Linked DNA regions of Kluyveromyces lactis. The protein of the gene in region 1 purifies or fractionates together with the protein of each later gene. This does not show direct contact. Links are inferred from orthologs where the notes say so. Each region holds a gene or a part of one and is shown in the gene's direction. Other genes may lie near its edges.

Region 1 (7,855 bases):
TTTGAATTTGTTGATTGTGCCCTCTTTGAATTGGGAATGGAACCTTTCGTCAAGGGTCCAGAATAATCTGATATCAGGGATCTCGAATAATAGCATTGCAATGCGGTCAAGGCCTAATCCAAAAGCCCAACCGATGTTTTGATTTTGTTCATATCCAGCTTTTAATAAAACGTCTTCACGGATAAGACCGCAACCGCAGAGCTCAAGCCAATTGTTTTGCCAGAACACTTCAATTTCCCATGATGGTGCAGTCCATGGGAAATAAGCTTGAATCCATCTAACCTTCAACTCTTCTCCCTTCACGTTACCCATACTTGCCAACTTTCTCTTGAAGACTTCCAATACAACAAGCTCCAAAGATCTTTTCAAATGGCGAGAACATAAATCGACTTCTTCCATCGTCATGTATTCCTGCTTTGGATTACCTTCCAAGGAAACGTTATCTTCCACGACAAGTTTCACTGGGTCGTCTGCCAAAGTTTTCTCCAATCTCTCGAGATCTTCTTTAATCTTTAATAAATGTTGGTTATCCGGTTCCCTTTTCCAAACTCTACCACCTTCCATTTGATGGAACACCGGATAATGAGTCCTGTCAATCTCATCTCTTCTATAGACATCGGCAGAGATTAAAAATCCAGGCTTATCAGTCTTACCCACATGGCCAGGAACAAACCCATTGATATTCTTGAAACATTCCAACTCATGGGCAGATGTATGCGTTCTTAACAGATGACAATCGTTCAAGTAATAGGTATCAGATTTCGATCTACCGGGGTGATCTTCTGGGAATCCCAAAGAATCAAAATTCTCATGTACCGTAACCGCAGGTTTGAAATCGTTATAGATCTCGAATGAGTGATGAGGGTCGTTCAGCTTGTCCTCGATAACACTTCTTAAGATCCCAACAGGGTGTGATGGTTTCAAATAAACAGCGCGATCAGTCAAATTCAAAATCGAACTAGTTACATTCGTCTTATCTGATACTGGGTACGTCTTTCCATTCACAGAAAGTGTCTGTAATGCCACATTGGAGGTGCTAAACAACCTTAAACATGGTCTCAAAGTTGACAATATCGTCCTATTCGACATCGTTTCGGTATTAAAGAACCCTTAATAACAGTAAAACTGGGGCAATTCAATCAACAAAACAAAGGTAATCCCTTAGCAATGATATTACTAGTGATATTTCACTGCCTGAAATCACCAGAACAGGTATATCAAGTGTTGTTTAACGAGACTTTTGTATCTTCTTTTGAATGTATGTAGAAGGTCACATGATTTCAAGATATCTTCAACTTCACCAAAAATTTTTCAATAATGAAAAGCTTTAAGAGTAAGTAAAAGAAGATCCAGAGCATAGAAATTGATTTGAAAAGCAGCATAAAACAGTCCCTCGCGCCTCATTGCAAGGATCTTATTTCAGATCAGTGAGCCTCCTTTATCGTAAATTAGATCACCATGTTTTCCAGCGTTTTCAAGACTGGATTTCGCTCACTAAATCCATTAGAAAGTCTGCAAGTAACCGCTAGGCGTTTTACACATGAATATGCTCCACGTTTCAAGAACCAGACTAAGAAGCAAAAGGGTCGTGTGCCAGTGCGTACCGGTGGCTCTACTAAGGGTAATTCGCTTCAATTTGGTCAATTTGGTTTAAGATTGAAGTCTGAAGGTGTGAGACTTACTGCGTTACAGTTGAAGGAAGCCGATAATGCTATTATGAGATACGTTAGACCTTTGAATAACGGTCAATTATGGCGTCGTTTGTGTACAAACATTGCTGTTTGTATCAAGGGTAATGAGACCAGAATGGGTAAAGGTAAGGGTGGATTTGACCATTGGATGGTCAGAGTACCCACCGGTAAAGTGATCTTTGAGATGGCAGGTGACAATCTACACGAGAAAGTAGCACGTGAGGCGTTTAGAAAGGCAGCAACCAAGCTTCCTGGCCTATACGAATTCATATCGAAAGATTCTCTGGTAAGAGTAGGTATCAAGAGTGTAAAAGATCCAAAGGACGATCCAAAGATCAATTACTTTGAAGAACTAAAGAAGAAACCTACAAAGGAATATATTACAAAGTTGAAGTCCCAGCAACCGGAATATAGAATGTTCAGGGCTCGTTGAAATAGATCGATGTGTGTATATAAACGACTCTTTTACGTATAACTTTTGTGAGAGCTAATCCCACTATCTGTAAATAGGCTATCAAAGATTCAAGATTTAAAGTCCCAAATGAGTAAAGTTTGGTTGTTTGTCAAACTACAAAAGTTAATACTTACGTATATTTATCTATTTCACACATTGTCCTTGCAATGAACCCTTCTAAATGGTAGATTGCTTTGTTTCCAAGGTTGAGACGGTGATCAAAAGTGCATGCAGTATCGATAATTGCCAACTTCAACGGATCTGACTGGGCATCTGAAAGCAATTGCGTCGTTAATTCATGGACTATGGTTTTGGCAGGAATACAATGGGCTAATAGATCATAATTTATGGAACGGCATTCTACAAGGTTATTAACAGTTCTTTCTTTTAATATTTTCCTAGCCATTTTATGGATCACCAATTGCCAATCAGGTCTGTTCAAAGGTGTATCGTTTCTTAAATGCAATTCATTTTGTAGTGAGGTAGATTCTAGTGCTAAGAGTGACATTCTCAAGTTCCCCTTTGACAGATTCGCTATCCTCTCTAGACAATTGCCCTCGGCAGTTATTTTTTCTTTGGAACAACAATCCTGCAGGATAGACACAGTTTCTTGCAAACTTGGTGATGGTACTCTAACTAGCAAGCAACGAGACTTGATAGGAGCAATGATACTGGACATTGAATCACATAGCATTATAAGCCTGATGTTACCAGAGTATTTTTCCATAGTTCTTCTTAATGCTGCCTGGGCATCTCTAGTCAACGAGTCTGCCTCGTTGATGATAACGCACTTGTAACGATGTGCCAAACCATCCTTGGAGTCCTGGAAATCTACTTGTTCCATTTGAGCGACTTCCTTAATCAATTCTTGTATCACAACACGATCGTTGTTACCAATATCGCTCGGAGTAATCTCTAAATGGTAGGGACTACTGACTACATTCAACTCCAGCTTACGGTTGGATGGTGTGACGAACTGTCTAACGTCGATCTTCAGCTTGTAAACCCCAGAACCAAATATTTCTTGCAACAGTGCCATACATCTAGTCTTCTTACCAGCACCATTGGGTCCATAGAACAACAGATGTGGAAGATCTTGAGGTTGTCTCGTTAATGAGTACAATTGATTTGTTAATTCTTCATTGTAACTTAATGACTGTAGAGTCTTTGGTCTATACTTATCAACCCACAAAGACATTCTCGTATAGGAATTTTAAATCTTGTTAGTCGATGTAGCTCAATGTAACTCGCTGGAATGGCTCGTTCGCCTGCTATGCGTTTTGATTAATTGTCTCTCAAGTACTTTTCGTGATGCGTTTTATTAACAATTTCGCCAAACGTTTCTTCACGTTGACATTTTGAAATTCAAATGATTTCAAGTAGACGTAACTTCAATAGCCTTAAAACAACAACATCAAGTTAGATAGTATACCAGCAGTAGGTACCATTTTTATCTGTACACTTACTAGTTGTTATCGATTAGCAGTGCCACTTGATTATCTTCCTAGTTATTTGGTGTCTTACAAGTCAGAATCAAGAAATTAACAATGGCTTTAGGTCAGAATCAACAGAACAACATGAAGGGTTTGCAATTGTTCATTGCAGACCTTCGAGCAAACCAGAAGACTAAAGAGCATGCTAGGAGAATACAAACTGAACTACAGAATATACGGACTCAGTTTACCCAGAAAAGTGGGCTCAATGGGTATCAAAGGAAAAAATATGTTGCTAAGATGGCATATATATATATCACTACTAATGCTGGCATGGTTCCTGAGTTGTTATTCGGATTGGATCAATGTTTCCAGTTGTTGAAAAGCAGTAACTTCAGTGAAAAATGGATTGGTTATATGACACTTGAACTCCTTTTCAACCATGCTGTTGTGAGAAACAGCGTCCTGGAGAAGACTATTTCATGCTTGAAACTGGATCTATCATCTGGCGACGCTAATGCAGTAAGCTTGGCGTTGAACTTCGTCGGAATAGTTGGGAATCGTGATGAAATCTTTGCTGATAATCTAAGTGAGACGATATTCGGAATTCTTAGATCTCCTGTCTCATCAGCCATTTTGAAAAGAAAAGCATGCTTGGCGTTTTTAACTTTAATTCGTTATAAACCGCAAATCCTTACAAATCTTGAAGATAATAAACGAACTCTATGGATTGAAAGAATTACTACATTATTAGGGGATGAGAACGATCATGGATTATTACTTTCACTTTTGCCTTTACTTGAGTTTATAGCTAGAGAGATTGACGTTAATCCATGTTTGAGGTTAATCCCGCAACTAGCTGAGATTTTGCATGAATGTCTATCGAAAAAGCAGAATAGTGCAAATGATGCAGATTACCAATTTTCGGGAGTATCTAACCCATGGATTGTAGGGAATTGTGTATCTCTTTTACAAGTCTTGGTCAGCGATAACGGAGAGAATTTGATCGGATCGAATATTGATCAACAGACCCTGGGTAAGTTACGGGTTTGTGTATCACATGCGGTATCGTTTGCATTAGCAAGTGATGCCAATCCGGTCACCAAAAATGCTCAGTATTCTGTTATGTTTACAATGCTCGGTTTTGCTTGTAAACTGGATCCTACTAATGAGGCTATTTCAAATTCCGTCACAGGACTTTGTGAACTAATGACATCTAATGACCTGAATACGAGATATTCAACTTTCGATCTTTTAATCAAAATCTGTAAAGTAAATGGAACAACTGCGATAAAGACAATTCAAAATGAACATCTCACGAGATTAGTTGATATGTTAAAAAGAGAGAGTGACGTTACTCTATTGAGAAAAATTATTGATCTCCTTGTCATCTTAACAGACGTAAGCAATTTCAAATTTGTCGTTCAAGAGCTTTTAAGTGCATTAGAAGCCCACAAATCAATGGATTTTGCTCTGAGAGAAGATTTGTCGTTCCAAATTGAAAGGCTGATAGAGCTGCACGCAGATGATCTCAACTGGTTTGTGCTCTCCTCGTTAAGGTTATTATCATCAAACACATCAATCAAGAATGATCATGTTTGGAAGCGAATTTGTCAGATAGTGGTGAACAATGAACCATTACATAAACTAGCGTGTGAACATCTGATTGATTACTTACATGCTCCTAACGTGGCGGAATCGCTTGTGAAGGCTGGTGTTTTCCTTTTAGCTGAATATGCGTCACTGGTTAACGACAAAGTCTCAGCTGGGGATCTATTTAACCTTTTCACTGAAAAATACTTCCAAGTCAGTAATTTGACTAAGGCAATGATACTAACAGGAATGTTAAAGTTGTATCACGTCGAACCGCAGTTATCTTCTGTTGTTGTGAAGTTTTTTCAATTAGAGTTGAATTCATTTGACGTCATTTTGCAGACGAGATCTTATGAATATTTGAAGATAATTCAATATTCGAAGATGAACGATATGACCTTTATAGATAAGTTATTACCCGGTATGCCACCATTTGCTTCTAGCAAAGATACGGACATAATGTCCAAGCTTCCGAAAACACAAGAACTACTGAGCCTAGAGCAACCTTTCACCAGTGGTAACACTGTAGACTCTAACAACAAACCCGCATCCTTACCCACCCCACCAAGATCAAGAAAAAACAACAAGCTCTATCATTCACAACAACTAACTCCTGGATGGGAATCTGGCTTTAAAAGGATGCTAATTCATACCCAAGGTGTATTTTATCAGGATACCTTGGTGAGTGTTTTGTTTAGAGTGGAAACCAAGGAAGAGCAACCATCAACAAGCAAGATCACATTCACATATGTGAACAAATCAGATTGGGAAATTACAGGATTAAGTTGTGAGATTATTCCACTTCGTGCGGACAACAACCCACCATATGTGCTGCAAGTCTTGCAATCACCGGATTCAAAGTTAGCACCGTCCAACGGCAGAACATCATATACTTTTGAGATAACAACAAGGTTCCCATTCCCACAAGAACATGCATCTTTGTTGTCATCGCAATTTAAATGTGGCGGTCAGTACTGTAGTCACAGGCTAAAAATTGGTTATACCATTCTCTCTACACTATCACCTCGTATCAGTGAGATTAAGTTAGCCCAGTTCGTTCAACGTTGGAAGTCAATCGGTGATTCTCTTGGAAAAGCGGGCGAACATGTAGACGTTGTCGAATGCCAACATACAAATTTACAAAAATTAATGAAAACCATGTCAAAAGTTGGTTTTGACGTTGTCCAACAATCGTCAATTCCAAACATTGCATTTGCTGGTGGTATTTTACATACAAAGAGTGATGGTAACTACGGATGCTTGCTTAAGTTGAGATTACTGGATTCTGACGATAAGGTACAAATTACCTGTAAAACCACTTCAAGTGGTGACCTTTCTAGATTCGTGATTAATTGTATCAAAAAGGTAGTTGAGGAGTGATTGAAATAAAAATATATTTATATGTATGAACTTGTAAAAATAGAAGTATGGATTGATGCACAATGCAATATTTAACAGTATAAAGTAAGAAGCCAAGAATGCGCGTATATACACAAAAGGTGCTTCTCTTGGGTTCTTGTTTGCTTTCTCTTTGATACATCAATTGAAATCAAGCGTTGTTTTAGTTTTTAAGTGGTCTTGAACCAAAAATGGCAGTACCGATCCTAACTTCGGAAGTTCCCTGTTTGATAGCTTGTCTGAAGTCCGCGGTCATACCCATTGAGAGTTTCAAGTCCAAGCCGTATTTTGCATCAAGCTTTTTCTTCCATTCAACTAATCTAGCAAAATCTTGGTTTTCTTCATTACCTGAATGGGATACGTCCCAGGATCCTACAGTCATTAATCCATTCAAACTAACATGCTTGGCCTCCTTGATAAGATATTCAACAATCGAATACACCTCTACTTCTGCGAACAATCCGGATTTTTGTTCCTCTCCAGAAGTGTTGATCTGAACATTACACGTGATCACGGGTGCATCCGGGTTCCACTTCCCTCTGGCTTCTTCCAACTTCTTCGCCTTCTTTAACGAATCAACGGTCTCTACCGAGTAAAGGTTCGCAATCTTAGCCAAATCCTTGCATTTGTTACTTTGCAAACCGCCGATGAAATGCCATTTAATATCCTGGGGTAAAATCTCACTCTTCGTAATCATCTCTTGAACGTAGTTTTCCCCAAAGTGTCTCACACCATAATCATACAAAATTTTGATGTCTGCAGCAGGCTTATACTTGGAAACAGCTAGTAATTCAACGTTAACATTACCGACTTCCTGAGCAGTGGCATTGATCTTATCTTTCATCGTCTGATAAGCCCCAATCAGCTCTTCTTTCCTCACAGCATCGTAACTGATATCACTAGACATTCTTCTTGCTACTATCAGTCCCCTGCGAATCATTCAAAAGCACTATAATATGGGTAAAACCAAAATTTAAAGTAAGTGCTCATCACTTAATCTTATCAGATGTTGTGAATCATCGAGCAAATTCCTTTATATCTTGAAGCCGTTCTTGGAAAAAAGTGTTGATACTTGTCACGTGATGTAGGGGAGCTGCAAAAAAGACAAATCGAAAATGGAAAGAAGCAAAACGCGATTAAAATTCAATGAATTGAAACGGGATTGGTTTGATTTCAGTTTTGTGATGAGAATTAGCATTCAGTTTGGTGCTTAATCTGTTAGTTAAGAGATTCCAATTAACCTAGGTACGTGCGTGTGTTTTCTTGGTGCTGTGAAGATGAGTATT
Region 2 (7,163 bases), on another chromosome or scaffold:
ATTTCTTCACATTGGTTATGAGTGATCTAATGGGAAAGCATGAAATCGCATGCTATTTCAAACAAATCTGTAATGGAGTTGCATATCTACATTCTCAAGGATTGGCTCATAGAGATTTGAAGTTAGACAACTGTGTTGTTAATGCTCAAGGTATCTTGAAGTTGATTGACTTTGGTAGCGCTACCATTTTCCATTACAAATACGAGGATAAAATAGTGAAAGCGAAAGGCATTGTTGGTAGCGACCCATACTTAGCTCCAGAGCTTTTGGTAAGTCAATACTATGATCCGAGACCCGTAGATGTTTGGTCCATTGCAGTAATGTTCTATTGCATGACATTAAGAAGATTTCCATGGAAAAAACCAAGCGAAGAGGTCGTGTCATTCAAATTGTTTGCTCAAAATCCAGATGATGAGAACGATCACACTAAGGGTCCATACAAGATTTTGAAGTTACTTCCACGTCATTCAAGACCATTGATTGGTAGAATGCTAGAACTAAGTCCTCACAAGAGAATCTTAATGCCGGAAGTTTTAGCGGACCCGTGGTTCCAAAATATACATTGTTGCGAAGTTGACAACGATGGAAAATTGATCAATCCACCAACTAACCACAAGCATCATTTAATTACGGAAGACGAATTAAAAGAGCTTACTGAGAAGAGAGAAAAGGAGGCTAACGAACGGAGAGCAGCAGAATTAAATCACAATACGACACAAGAGTGATAAAACTTTGCACCTATATCTCAGCATCATGAACCATATCATAACCATAAACAATCTTAACATTCATTCATAATCATACCCAAGCATTTGGTACAACATCATGCACTCTCGCAATAGCTTGGAGACTTTAGAACTTATTTCCCAAATAAAGGGCAATGTAGCATTTGTCGTGCATATTCTTTTCAAATTCGGCCTAATGCATGAAGACCAAGAAATCTGGGGAAACCATCATCATCCAAAGAAACTCTTCCAATGTAAGAATGAATTTTACAAGCTATTGACATTACACCATTGCACGGCCCAATAGAACAATAGAGTGAGACCAACTTGAAATTGATACATTTGTGTGTGTATATACATTTATATTTTTATTACATAAAACAACCTTAAAAGCAGAATCACAAATTCGGTACGATTACTACCATCCATGTTCAAAAAGAATACTTATCGATTCTCCGTTATGAATTCTTCTGATGGCTTCGGCGAAAATATTAGAGACATCTAGAACCTCAACTCTATCAGCACCTAGTACCTTAATTGTTTCGTCCTGTGGAATAGAGTTTGTGACAATTATCTTATCAATAACACTCTGTCCAATTCGGTTTAGAGCATCTCCTGAGAAAATACCATGTGTAATCAAAGCATATATTTTAGTGGCTCCTTGGTCCTTCAAGAGTTTTGCTGCTCTAGTAATGGTGTATGAGGTGTCAACCAAATCGTCAACAATAATACATTCTTTGTTTCTGACATCACCGACCAACATAGTAGTGTTCACGTATTTATTGTTTCCATTATTGGAGAGACTTGTCCTAATATCCAGTGACTCAATTAAAGGTTTGGTCGATACTGGAACGCCACCACCTGATGTTAAGGTGGCGCCAGGTGGACCTTTCAAAAGCTGTGACCTTCTTTCCTTGTGAATCATAGCAAAAGAAAGTTCTAAGACATCGGCGATTTTTGCAGCACGCTTAGCACCCCCAGCATCTGGAGAAACAACGACACAATCCTGATAGTTAGGAATATGATGTTGAATATAAGCCTGAGTGATAGGTTTACAGTATAGGTTATCAACAGGAATGTCAAAGAATCCTTGGAATTGAGAATCATGTAAATCCATAGTGATGACATGATCTGCTCCGGACGTAGTTAGCAAATTAGCGATCAAAGTACCTGCTTGGGCTACCCATAGCTTATAACTAGAATTGCTTGCGTTAAAGAGGGCGTCTGCATTTGAATCTTGCTCCTGCTCAGATGGATGTTCAGCCTTCCCGTTTGGAATCATGGGGATACGCGAAGAAGTAGATGAGGTGGGTCTCAACTCTACTGGACGCAAAGGAGTGGGACTTTGTAGAGACTGAGGACCTGATGAAGAAGCTGAGCTTGCGGCATCTAGCCTACTTGAATTTGGGGACATGGGCTTCTCTACTGTTAGCATGGATTGAGGGATAGGGGTTCCTGGATGTGACTCAAAAGTATATTTTTCCTTAGGCTTTGATATTAATGGAGCACCCTTAGCTGTGTATGGGATATCAGGCTGTCTTGAATACGAGAAGTATGGCATCACAGCAGTGACTCTGGATGCATCAGCTGTTTTACAGGCATTGATGAGAATCAATAGCTCCATAAAGTTATCATTAACATGGCCACATCCACTTTGAATCACATAAACATCTTTCTCTCTAACAGATTCTTCGATACTAATGGAGGTCTCACCATTTGAAAACTTACCTAGCTTCACTTGCGACCTTTCAATACCTAGATTCTCACAAATCTTATTCACTAAATCGAGATGGGAACTACCAGCAAAAACGACGATGTTATTCATTTCTTTCGACAAGACTTACAGGGCTTTATTAAACAGTAGTTTTCTGGATGAAGTACAATACAGGTTCAGCGTTCAATTCACCTCTTATGATCGTATCTGTATGATCATTGTACCGATCGATCTCGTTATCTCTGTCAAATTGTTATAAAAATTTTCGGACCTACTGATAGTAAAGCACATTGCAGAGAATCTTCAAAAAAGAAGAATTACCTGAAAAGGCCCGTGTTTCATCCAGAAGAGCCGCATTGTCAGTAGTGCCATGGATATATCATGTTTATTCATAATGGCCTACTCTTAGGTATTGCGTAAGACCTTTTTGTTCAGATCTGTTATAATTCCCTTGACATTATATGCTTTCCAATAGTAAATATATACAGCTTAGACACAATGAGTTGGGGCAAAAGCAAGGGAATGAATAAGATACAATTTCTGTTCCAATAATCTATCATTGCACAAACCAATCCATCAGTGAGTTGCCTATATAATAATAACATCTCGTCAACGTTCTTGTTCTTTTTCTCAGCTTTTGCTTTATTTTGCAAAGGTTTGATAAATAGCACAACAATAATTTTGAACTATGTAGCGTATATTTCAGTAAAGGTTCCTTAAACTGTAACTTCAGGCACTTGAGGTACACAGGGCAGTGCAAAACTGAAACGGTGGTGTTCGTAACCTACAGTATAAAAATTATCGTTGACCAACACGCAGCATGCTTAGTGCTATATTTATATACAATGCAAAGGGTGATTTGTTGATCAGTAAATTGATCAAAGACCATGTTAAAAGATCACTGGCAGATGTGTTTAGAACCCAAGTCATCAATGATCCACATGTGAGGTCTCCTATATTGACATTGGGCTCAACGACATTTCAACATGTTATCAGAGAAAGTAGCGACAACTTGCCTATGTGGCTTGTAGCAGTATCCAGATCGAATGTGGATAGTTCAATGATCTGGGAATACCTACACAAGTTGTACCAATTAATGGAAGCATTCGGAATTAACGATGAAGACGTGTTAAAGGATGAATTTATGTTATTGTATGAGATTTTAGAACTGACGTTGGAGAACGGCATCCCACAAACAACGGACTTAGCTCAAATAATACCAAGAGTATCACGAAAACCAATAGAGAATAACACAATTAGCAAATCTCCCGATTTGGATGATTTCTTATCCGGATCTAACATTCTAAAGGCTCCAAAGCTTTCAAAGCGGTCCTCAAGTTCAATTGCCTTGTCTTCATTATCTGAATGCCCTTGGAGGCCAAGTGGGTTGAAATACAAGAAGAATGAGGTATATTTGGATATCAACGAAAAGATCACAATATTGGTAGGTAAAGATGGGTCAATTGTGAAATCATTTGTTGATGGATCCGTGGATTGTGTATCACATCTATCAGGTATGCCTCTATGCCAACTAGGGTTGAATGACACATATTCGATTCATGGAAACGAAAAGTCAGAATTGTCCATTGTTGAAATGATGTCCGAGTACGATATTAAGAATAAGAAAGCTATACCGAATGCGGCTGCAGGCTCTGTAATATTAGAAGATTGTAAATTCCATCAATGTGTCCAACTTAATAAGTACGAGGCCAACCACGTTATTCAATTCGTTCCTCCTGACGGGCCATTCCAATTGATGCAATACCGTGTCATTGATAACATTAATATCCCATTCAACGTCATACCGGAGGTAGAAATCGTGAAGAACTCTACACTCAATTACAAGGTAACGTTAAGATCACTTTTCCCATCCAATGTCTCTGCCAAAGATGTAACAGTTAAAATACCTGTGCCCCCAACCACGATTAAATGCGATTTTAACGTCTCTGGAGGAAAATGTAAGTACGATGCCGGAGAAAAATGCATGGTATGGAAATACAACAAATACAAAGGATCTACAGAAAATACTCTGAGCGGTAAGGTGGCAATCCCTGCTACTTCCCACGATCTATCTGATTTGTTAAGATGGTCAAGACCGCCAATATCAATGGGCTTCGAAATTGTAATGTTTAGTAATTCCGGACTTGTGGTGAGACACTTGAAATGTCAAGAACCACAATTGAATTATCAACCGGTGAAATGGATTAAATATATCTCACATTCAGGAGCATACGAGATAAGATATTAGTCCACTGAGTGGGATGACTTGTCCCTATAATGGTGTCTTCATATTAATGTGCAACGAATTGGTTTACAAAAGTTTACCCGGATATGTATATATTATTCATGTTTTTCCTATTTAAACAATGTAGTAATAATATTCCAAAAGTTTAAAGGAACAGAAAGCAGATTATAAGTCATCCTGCGATCTTAGTATGGGGTTTGCGATGATATAGACAATTTGGCCTTTGAAATTCCTATAAAATTCCTTTGTAAATTAAGAAGCTTCATAGATTTCAAGACTATGAAGACATTTTGCATTACCAGAAGTAATCGCTTATTGGTATAAATCTGAGAAAATACAATTCCGCACATCAGACATTGTGATATTCTTCTGTGAGATGCTTCCCCTAAATCGATTTCAATTGTGCGTTAAATCACAGATTGGGCTGCGACCATTTCAATCCTTGACAAAGTTAAAAGCATACAGTCCTGCTAGTCATGGATGTGTCAAGACGGGTCAGTTTGTGAATTTGGTGCCACGGTTCCCACTCCTGGCAGCTTTGAATCCCCGGATGAATCTTTTACATTATAACCAGAATATTTTGGTCTCTCCTGTGAAGATGGCGCTTCGAAATTTCCATTCTACGCCGAGAAACATGGTACTTGGTGGACGGGATCCTTTCAGAAAAAGTCCCTTTAACAATCCCAGATTTATCTTTTCAATCAGCCCTTTTTCCTTTATTCTTTCCACGTTACTGTTCGCTGGATTCATAACAATGATAGTATTTGTTTTGCCTTTCTTACTTGCTTTGCTTTTCCCGATGGTGATATTTGGAATAGGGTGGTATCAATTCAAAGCTTTTAGAACCAGGAAACTTATGCAGCTTTTGGATCATGCTTTCAATCAAACTAAGATGAAGCTTTCATCCACCACAAGGAGAGAATTGATAATGAAGCAAATGGTCCCAAAATTCAAGTCATTTACCCAGCTAAAGGACTTCAGCGGATTCCCCTTCAAGCTCTCTCAAGCATTTACAGATAAGTTTCAATCGGGAGAATTTCCCAACGCAGACAGATTTCTTTCCTTTGTGAAATCGAGATTAGATGAGAGTTTCTATAAAAACGAACACAACATCAAATCCATAGTTTTAGGAAGTGATACAGCTTATGTTCCAGGACACATGGAGTTAGTAACAAACTCGTACTCTTTTGTTTCCAGCGTCAGAAATAACGAAAACATCCAAGCTTTTTCATTTATGCTATTGAACATGGGTTCTGAGGGAGTCCGTAAACCAGTTGCATTGGTTTACATCGTTACAAAGGCAAACCCAGGGGACGAATTGTTGATGTTCACTGGTGACTACATTGATGATTCTAAGTTATCCCCGATGGTCATCTATGTACGTGCTCTCAGCCCATTTTCGAAATGTTGCTTCATTACAGACGTCGGAGAAACTGGAGCAAATGCACAATATAGTGTAAAACGAAAAAAGGACGGCAGTAAAGAATACACGTACGAAAGTGATTAAAAGAACTAACGCCCTCACCTAGGTACTGACATGACATTATTAAGAATCATCACTTCACAAAATCTATTTAAGTTGACACAAACCGTCACAATTTATACATATTCATCAATGAAATAAAAAAGATCATATAACACATATCCAAGCAAACTATAAGATTCATTTGAACCATATGAAAACATGCTTTACATGTAAATCCAACGATTTAGCGGCTATCTTGTGACGTGCCAATAGCTTTATACCTCCTGGATAAATTCTATATGGACAAACATGATCACATGATTTACGTGAAAAACGACATCAACAACATTGGGAAATAGGAGATGTTCTTAAAGAAAGAGAGGAAATAAAGGTTTATTTCATCAGATTTAATAGTGGAACTGGGGTAATTAAATCAAACGGACATTTGTGAGCATCTTCAACCCATTAATAAAGCGAAAATGGACCCACATACTCCAATTGTTCTTGATCAGGGTACTGGTTTCGTGAAAATTGGCCGTGCTGGTGAGAACTTCCCAGATTACACCTTCCCATCCATCGTAGGTAGACCGATTCTTAGAGCTGAAGAAAGAGGTCATGCTTCTACCCCATTGAAAGATATCATGATTGGTGATGAAGCAAGTGAAGTTCGTTCATATTTACAGATTTCGTACCCAATGGAAAATGGTATCATCAGAAACTGGGCAGATATGGAATTACTATGGGATTATGCTTTCTTTGAGCAGATGAAATTGCCAACTACATCCGGCGGTAAGGTACTACTTACCGAACCACCAATGAACCCCATTAAAAACAGAGAACAAATGTGTGAAGTTATGTTCGAGAAGTATGATTTTGGTGGCACATACGTTGCAATTCAAGCCGTTCTAGCTCTATATGCTCAAGGTTTGTCGTCGGGTGTCGTTGTTGATTCCGGTGATGGTGTTACTCACATTGTTCCTGTTTATGAATCCGTTGTTTTGAATCATTTGACAA
Region 3 (7,661 bases), on another chromosome or scaffold:
AACGGATCTTGCTAACAACAATTCAAAGAAAAGCCCTGTTGGAATAATTGCAGAAAAACAAGCTCGGAAGACGTCACGAACAAGGCTAATAACGCACATTGATGCAAGAACCGATGAACAGGATACGGCCGTCTTCACCGTTGAGTGGGCAGCGGACTGTTACCTCAGGAAGTACCCGGCGAATTTGGTTACAATTAGACACACCATGCGATAGCTTTCGCGGCGAGAATCCTATTGAGGATACTTTATACAATCAACCAACTAGTGTCGACATTGAAGTGAGAGATATGATAGATGATGTGAAAAGTAAGGTATTGAACAAGTTGAGTAATACGAGATGGTTCAGATTCAAAGATAACACGAATATAAGTCTTGGGTTTTATTATTACAGTGCGGAACTACTAGAGCCATCGCACTCTCATTCAGTTGGACCAGAGAAAGCAAATTCCAATACATTCGTAATAACATACTCTGAGTATCAAAATCTGATAAAAAGGAATCAGATTCGTGTTGGACGATGGTCCCAACTGCATAACTCATTTAATAGGTTGTTACACAGGTCCACATCTCAAAGTCCTTCTTTGGATACCGCATTCAATGATGACAATGGTCTTAGGATGTTATCTTCTCAGCATACACGACAGCAATCTCAATCCCCTGATGATAACCTGAAATATGCGTACAAAGTCATCATAGAACCGGATACGCCCGTTATGACGGTATACAGGGAGTTATATGGGGGTTTACAGAAAAGTGAAGATGCTTTAACAGTGTTTTATCCTCCGATGTCTTCAAGTTCTCCTACCTCTCCTGAAGTATTGACTCCTGCTGAACTTTTAGATCCAATACGTATATTCACCAAGGACGCTATAGGACAGGAAAAAGAGATCCTACTCTCAGATATTAGCCAGGGAACTGAAATCGATTCTGTTGTTGAAAGACCCGATCAAAGACGGCCAAGTCTTTTTGGAAGTTTCTCAAGCTCGCGTAATAACACTGGAATACTACTATTACCAAAAGGTGTATCCCCTGAGGATATTGAAGGTAGCAATGATTCTCCGTATGAGGAAGCGAATATTTCCTTGGATAATATTGAAACTTCACCGCCACATCCAGAGAGTTACGCGTTGACAGCCCAGAAACCATTAACAGAAGAGGAAGTGGGTATATCATTAACAAAGACAATATCGTCTCCAGAATTACCTCGTCCACTATCCAGAAGGACCACACCCTCATTAGATAAGCAAGGCAACCTTCCAAAATATAAAGTGTTTCCTCGTATCAACGTGCTTATTGTAGAAGATAACGCTATAAACCAAGCCATTCTAGCATTATTTTTAAGAAAGAACGGAATTTCTTACAAAGTTGCCAAAGACGGAGTGGAAGCAATAGAAAAGTGGAAAGAAGGCGATAGTCATCTTATCCTTATGGATTTGCAATTGCCCCTGCTATCAGGGCTCGAAGCAACAAAAAAAATAAGAGAACTGGAACGAATTAACAATATTGGGAATTTCTCTCAAAAGAGTGTTTCTAAGAAGCCCAATCTGAAAAAAAATGCTAATTCTAAGGAAGAAGGAGGTACAACTGCTGCAAAGACAAGTGATCAGCAAAATGAAGTCGAGAAATCGAATCAGCAGAATATGGTGTTGGACAAATCGAAGTTTAGGTCACCTGTTATAATCGTTGCACTTACCGCATCTTACTCACAAATTGATAGAACAGAGGCCCTATTAGCTGGCTGTAATGATTATTTGACCAAACCAGTCAATTTGGACTGGTTAAGCAAAAAAATAACTGAATGGGGATGTATGCAAGCATTAATCGATTTTGATGGCTGGACTGAAGGACAAAGAAGGATGACTGATGATGTACTTTTGAGACCTCAAATTGTAACGGCAAGAAAATCACAAGCAACTTCTACTAGATCTGTACCGAGAGTTTCTTCTGTCTCAACGACACTTGAATGCGATGATTCTAAATATACAAAATCGAATGACTGTTGTCCGTGAATGAAACCATGGAATAATTGAATTACTTTGAGTTTTCTCAAGTTGTAACAATCATACATTAGCGTTTTACTATAATGGTCATCAGATGTCTTTCTCCGGCAAGAATATTTCAACATTCTTCCCACCTATTACAGTCCACAATCTACCGATAGCATCACTAATTCAACATCTTTTAGGTTTTGGAAAAGTATAATAATTATGACCAGAAATCATGCTATGTAACATTAACAAGAAACTATATTAGTATTGAGCATATATCTTAGTAAATATGACATTATTGAGGTAGCAAACTGTTTCGGACGGTACTGAAGCAGCCATGTCATATTAACCAGCCTTGGATTTAGAACAAATTCTTTGTCCGGGTAATAATAACACCAATCTCTGACTTTTTGTTTGATTTCAAGAACATGTCAAAAGTAACAAACACTAAATTAAAGTACGGTTTATAATGAAACTATCTTATATTTCCCTCAAGAGACAACTGTTACATAAACAACCATATTGCACGAACTGGATTGAGCTGTGTTGATACTATAAATATAAACTCTAATATCATTTCAGTCAGTACGATATTAATTATGTCGGAAAGCAAAATATTCTACAAGTATAAGGCACATGAAATAAGAGGGGAGTTGGTTTCGGATTCTGGTAAGGCCAGAGGTAGTTCGAAGAGGAAACTATGTCTTCGAAAGATTATAGCGAATTTGATCATGGGAAATTATCATGAAATGGCACAATTATTCGTTGACGTTCTACAAATATGGAATAGTGAAAATGATTTAGAGATAAAACGAATGTGTCATCAATATTTTTGCACTTTGACTCCATCAAAGCCTGATCAGTTAAGAATGGCTCTCCCAATTATCCTACAAGACCTTCTATCCAATTCTGAAGAGCTGTGCATTTTATCATTGCGCACAATAACGTCGATAGATGAACCGGAGTATATTCAAGAAGGCTTCCAGCATGTGAAGAAGCTAATCATGACAACTTCAAAAATATCTATTCCACTAAGGAAGGCAGCTATCCATTCTCTGATCAAAATGGATCAATTAGATCATACGAAAGTTTTAGAACTATATTATTTTCTCATGGATATGTTGGACTACGGTAAAGAAGAACCCACAATATTGGTTGCCGCTGTCACAGTACTTCATGAAATTCATGTTAGCAATCCTGATATGAACCCACTCCAACTAACGCAGAACATATGCTTCAATCTCTTAGAGGTATTAGGAAAAATCAATGAATGGGATATTGCGATTCTATTCGATATACTTACTACTGCATACTTACCAAAAACGCATTCTGAAGCTCACCATCTTATCGATCTTTCTGTACCGAAATTGCATAATTTGAATTCATCTGTCGTGCTCAATGCTCTAAAATTTATTATCTATCTAACAAATTACGTTGATTACATTGAAGAGAGGCTTGTGAGAAAGTTCTCAAGCTCCTTGACTTCTTTATTGAATAAGCCTCCTGAAATTCAATTTCTGGTATTGAGAAATGTAATCTTACTTTTACTATCGCGTGACTCTCCACTGATACACCTTGAACCTAATAACTTCTTCATTGAATATTCTGACCCGACTTATATCAAAGATACAAAATTAGAGATTTTATATCTCTTAGCGAATGAAGAAAACACTTCTCAAATTCTTGACGAATTAAAGGGTCAAGCAACAGATATCGATATCCAAATGTCCAAAAAGTCAATCAGAGCAATTGGTAATTTGGCAGTTAAGTATCCACATTCAGCAAGATATAGTGTTGACGTCTTGCTCGAACTTCTAGAATTTGGCGTCGATTACATTGTGCAGGAAGTCGTTTCCATGCTCAAAAATGTTCTAAGGAAATACCCTAATCAGTTTGACTTCGTAGTTCCACTTTTACCGCAATATTCTGATTCCATCCAAGATTCTGAATCGAAATGTGCAATGATATGGATCGTCACCAACCATTCAAATCAATTGGAAGACCCAATAGGTGTATTCCGCAAATATTCTGATAACTTCAATACTGAAGGTCTAGAAGTTCAATTATTGCTTCTCAACTCGGCAGTGAAATTTTTCTGCAGAGCGCAATCAAAAGAAACTGAACAGTTGTGTCTTAAATTATTGTCAGGAGCCACAGAAATTAACGATAATCCCGATCTTAGAGATAATGCATATATGTATTGGAGATTATTGTCATTGGCAGGAAACTCTTCTGAGCCACTATTTAACAACGATGTGGTACGGGACATGATAGATGGTGAACTTCCTGTCATTGAAATCAACACAAAATTGGATCCAATTGTTAGAGAAGAGTTGGAGTTAAACATTGGTAGCATTTTATCGGTATATTTGAAGCCTGTTTCCCAAGTTTTCCGGGGTGTAAGCCCTAAGAAGTTGCCGGAAAGTCCAGCACTTAATCATGAAAAATCATCCTTGTCTATAATTAATGACTCTATCAGTAACAATTCTACTGGAAGTTTCCACGGTTCTGATACTACTCGGAGATCCAGTTCTCCAATTAAGAAAATGACAGATTTCGATAGACCAGCTGAAACAGTAAACCAACTGAAAGACAAAAGAAAATCCAGCATATCTCTTTCAGCGACAAAACTAGCAAGAAAGCCATCGATGCTCGCAAGAAAATTGTCGATGCGGAAGCCTTTCCAATGAACAAAATTAAAACTAGCCACGCATGTCACGAACTTTAAACTAAACATATATATATATATATTCAATCAATATATTTAAAACAGTAAAATCTTTACAGAAGATTTATTCTTCAAAAACTCCTTGAGTACTTTATAGAGAACAGCGGAATCATCTGATGTGAAAATTGTGTTATTTTTTGGATCAAGGTAACTCGCATCAATGAATATATCTAATTTTTCTTTGCCTTGGAAGAAAAGATCGGTGCTCTCTATGATTTTTTGAATACGTGTTGGAGTTGATATGAAATATTTTACAGTTTCTGAGGAAAAGTTTTTACCCTTCATCTTCTTATTGGACTTCTTGTTTTTCTTCTCTGGTTTGGATTCCTTTTTAGATCCAAGCAGTTCCTCCACCTTAGTTATATCATCTTTAAGTTTATTCTTTGAGAACAATTTTACCGCTGTTTGATGGCCGTTAACACTTCTATATACATCTGCAACGCGGATGTTGGATTGAGAAAGAATTATAGATCTAGGTGACTTTGAAAATGTGTGAATGAAATCTTGGAAATTATTCAAACTGCGATCCTTTTCATATTTTTCCGTCGATAAGAAGTCCTGTTTCTTAAAGTACAACTCATCTAATTCTAAAGCACTTAAATCAGGGTTTTTGTCACGGATTGATGTGGCTAAGTACTCAATAATTTTATCAACTGATGCCTTAGGGAGGTTCTCCTTTTGAGCTTTTTCATACGCCATGCGTTCTAGTTTTTTTTGATGGAGAGAAGAATTAGCCAGTTTCTTTTGTCTTTTACTTAAAGGTTTTTCAGACTCTTCAGTGGATAAAGTGTTTCCATTATCTTCCGTATCCAATGCTCTTTTATTCTCTGAAACTTCATCTGCAGTATTACTATCATTGTCCTTATCTAGTTCGACTAGTTCACCATCGGATACCACATCATCGTCTTGGGCATCGTTAACCTCATAAACTAGACCATCATCTAAATCATCTGCGTGTACCATTATGAAACACAGATAAACTGGCAAGGTACTAAACTGTGCTACTTACTAGAAAAGAAATTTCTTAATGTTGGCACTACTCAATCATAGGAACCTCTGTTGAAGCCAATATCAAATGATCAGTTCCATGCGATGAGCTTCAATTTTACACTTTTTCTCTAACCTTGAAGATTCACGGCTTTTCCAACTAGATGGAAAAAGAAAACTGTTAAAAATGTTACCCGTATTTGCGACAGGTTCAAAAACATATTATATCAGTTAAAAAAGCATTAGACAATTGCTTAAGCATACATAGCACACTTTCAACAGGAAAGATGTGGCATTAAGATCAAAACGTATGTTAGTTATTAGTATTATTATTGTTATTATTTGTTTGGTTCAATAAATGTACCTGAAATTCCTGTTCTCAATATCTGTCTTATCTAAGAATTGATACTGTTCTGGTTTAGTTTCGGACTCAGCTTGTTCTTTGTCTCTTCTTCTGTTCTCTGTGTAAGAAGTGTAACCAATGTACAGTTGCAATGGAACACAAACACATTGAGTAACTAGCAATGCGATCTTGGCAGGAATGTATCTTGGGTATGAGTAAGCACGGAACATTTGTGGTGCAACGATACATGCGATATTGTAGACAATCATAGTTAACCCGTTTCTTGCTAGCCTTTTGGTATACCCAGAAGTGTTACAAGTATTCCAGATATAAATGTTCGTAATGGTACATGAACCACTGTATAATAGGTACAACGATAATAGGTTACCGATTTTATTTGTTAACGGTAAACAAATCATGACAATGCAACCAATGATTGCAGGAATGTACATAGATGTCGTGATTAAAGTGAATTGGGAAAATCTTCCTATCAATTGGGTTGTGATTAGAATAATCATGATGGTAACGCATCCGATAGGAAGTTGCAAAAGGGATGTCTGGTAGCTATCAAAACCAAATGTACCTGTGATGGTCACTGAAAAGGTTCCAATGGATCCAGTTGAAATTTGAGAACAACCAGTCAATAATAACATTGGCCATGTCAATTTATCCTTGAGTAACAATTCTTTCACTTGGTGCATCTTGATTTTCTTTGTTTCAAGACCAGTTTGGTTTGATCTGATATGTTCAATGACTTGGACTTTCTCCTTCTCGTTAAGGAACCATGCCTTAGGAACGTTATCTGGTAAATAGAAATAGGTTACTATACCGAATCCCACGGTCACTAAACCGACAACAAGGAACATGATTTGCCACGAGGTAAATTCAGTTCCGTGGTAATGTAAAAACCCAAATGACATTAAACCACCAATGATATAACCGGTTCCTGCTTGAGCAGCCCAGTAACCAATTCTTTGCGTTTGTTCCGATTTCGTATAATACATACCGTTGACTGTAATGCATCCTACAGCACTACACGACTCGAACAACCCTAATAGAACACGTACAATCATCAAACTTGCATATGTCTTACAAACACAATGACAAACGACAACGACACCCCAACATATGATGAACGAGCCCAACACTCGAGACACGGGAAACCTTTGGAGCAAATACACCGCAAACGGTTCTGCAAAGATATACGATGCAGAGAAAATAGTACCCAAATTAGAAAACTCATCACCAACCAAATTGTCCTTGATCCCCATCGATGCGGCATAATTTAACAATGCCTTGTCCAAAAACATCAATAGGTACGTACAGCATAAAAATGGCAAAACAAATATGTCAAGCTTTCTCAACACCTTCTTATCTAACACATGGTTCCCAAAGAAAGTTGTCTTCTCTGTAATATCTTCCTGTTCGATGCTCTTATCGTCCTTCAACTCGGCCGCTGCGGAACTTAGAAGGAACTTTCTAGCTACATCTTCCTCATCGCTTACGGAATAAACAGACTCACTGAGATCTTCTTTATCTGGCATCTTTTCTGGTTTGCCTATCTTGTTGACTTCGTTCTATTATTTTTAAATTGGGGACATATCTTCAAATTTAC

Evidence for each region.
Region 2: the proteins of APL3 (region 1) and APM4 purify together in Saccharomyces cerevisiae (affinity purification with mass spectrometry, with the first as the bait; 4 studies listed by BioGRID). This does not show direct contact. The link is inferred for Kluyveromyces lactis from reciprocal best matches to the Saccharomyces cerevisiae genes APL3 and APM4.
Region 3: the proteins of APL3 (region 1) and APL1 purify together in Saccharomyces cerevisiae (affinity purification with mass spectrometry; 3 studies listed by BioGRID). This does not show direct contact. The link is inferred for Kluyveromyces lactis from reciprocal best matches to the Saccharomyces cerevisiae genes APL3 and APL1.

What each region holds. Positions count from the first base shown.
Region 1 is NC_006038.1:1,064,533-1,072,387, forward strand, and holds APL3 (Apl3p), read left to right. Parts: upstream 1-3,692; coding exon 3,693-6,551; downstream 6,552-7,855. Other genes in the region: MSF1 (phenylalanine--tRNA ligase), read right to left, coding at 1-1,089; MRPL16 (mitochondrial 54S ribosomal protein uL16m), read left to right, coding at 1,459-2,124; RFC5 (replication factor C subunit 5), read right to left, coding at 2,276-3,343; KLLA0_B12265g (pyridoxal phosphate homeostasis protein), read right to left, coding at 6,733-7,509; IST2 (Ist2p), read left to right, coding at 7,847-7,855. UniProt on the Saccharomyces cerevisiae protein: Adaptins are components of the adaptor complexes which link clathrin to receptors in coated vesicles. Clathrin-associated protein complexes are believed to interact with the cytoplasmic tails of membrane proteins, leading to their selection and concentration.
Region 2 is NC_006039.1:352,413-359,575, reverse strand, and holds APM4 (Apm4p), read left to right. Parts: upstream 1-3,259; coding exon 3,260-4,687; downstream 4,688-7,163. Other genes in the region: putative serine/threonine protein kinase RTK1, read left to right, coding at 1-725; ribose phosphate diphosphokinase subunit PRS5, read right to left, coding at 1,144-2,550; MRX9 (Mrx9p), read left to right, coding at 5,061-6,191; ARP2 (actin-related protein 2), read left to right, coding at 6,629-7,163. UniProt on the Saccharomyces cerevisiae protein: Component of the adaptor complexes which link clathrin to receptors in coated vesicles. Clathrin-associated protein complexes are believed to interact with the cytoplasmic tails of membrane proteins, leading to their selection and concentration.
Region 3 is NC_006041.1:840,546-848,206, forward strand, and holds APL1 (Apl1p), read left to right. Parts: upstream 1-2,587; coding exon 2,588-4,678; downstream 4,679-7,661. Other genes in the region: mitogen-activated protein kinase kinase kinase SSK1, read left to right, coding at 102-2,009; CMS1 (Cms1p), read right to left, coding at 4,753-5,679; THI73 (Thi73p), read right to left, coding at 6,055-7,590. UniProt on the Saccharomyces cerevisiae protein: Adaptins are components of the adaptor complexes which link clathrin to receptors in coated vesicles. Clathrin-associated protein complexes are believed to interact with the cytoplasmic tails of membrane proteins, leading to their selection and concentration.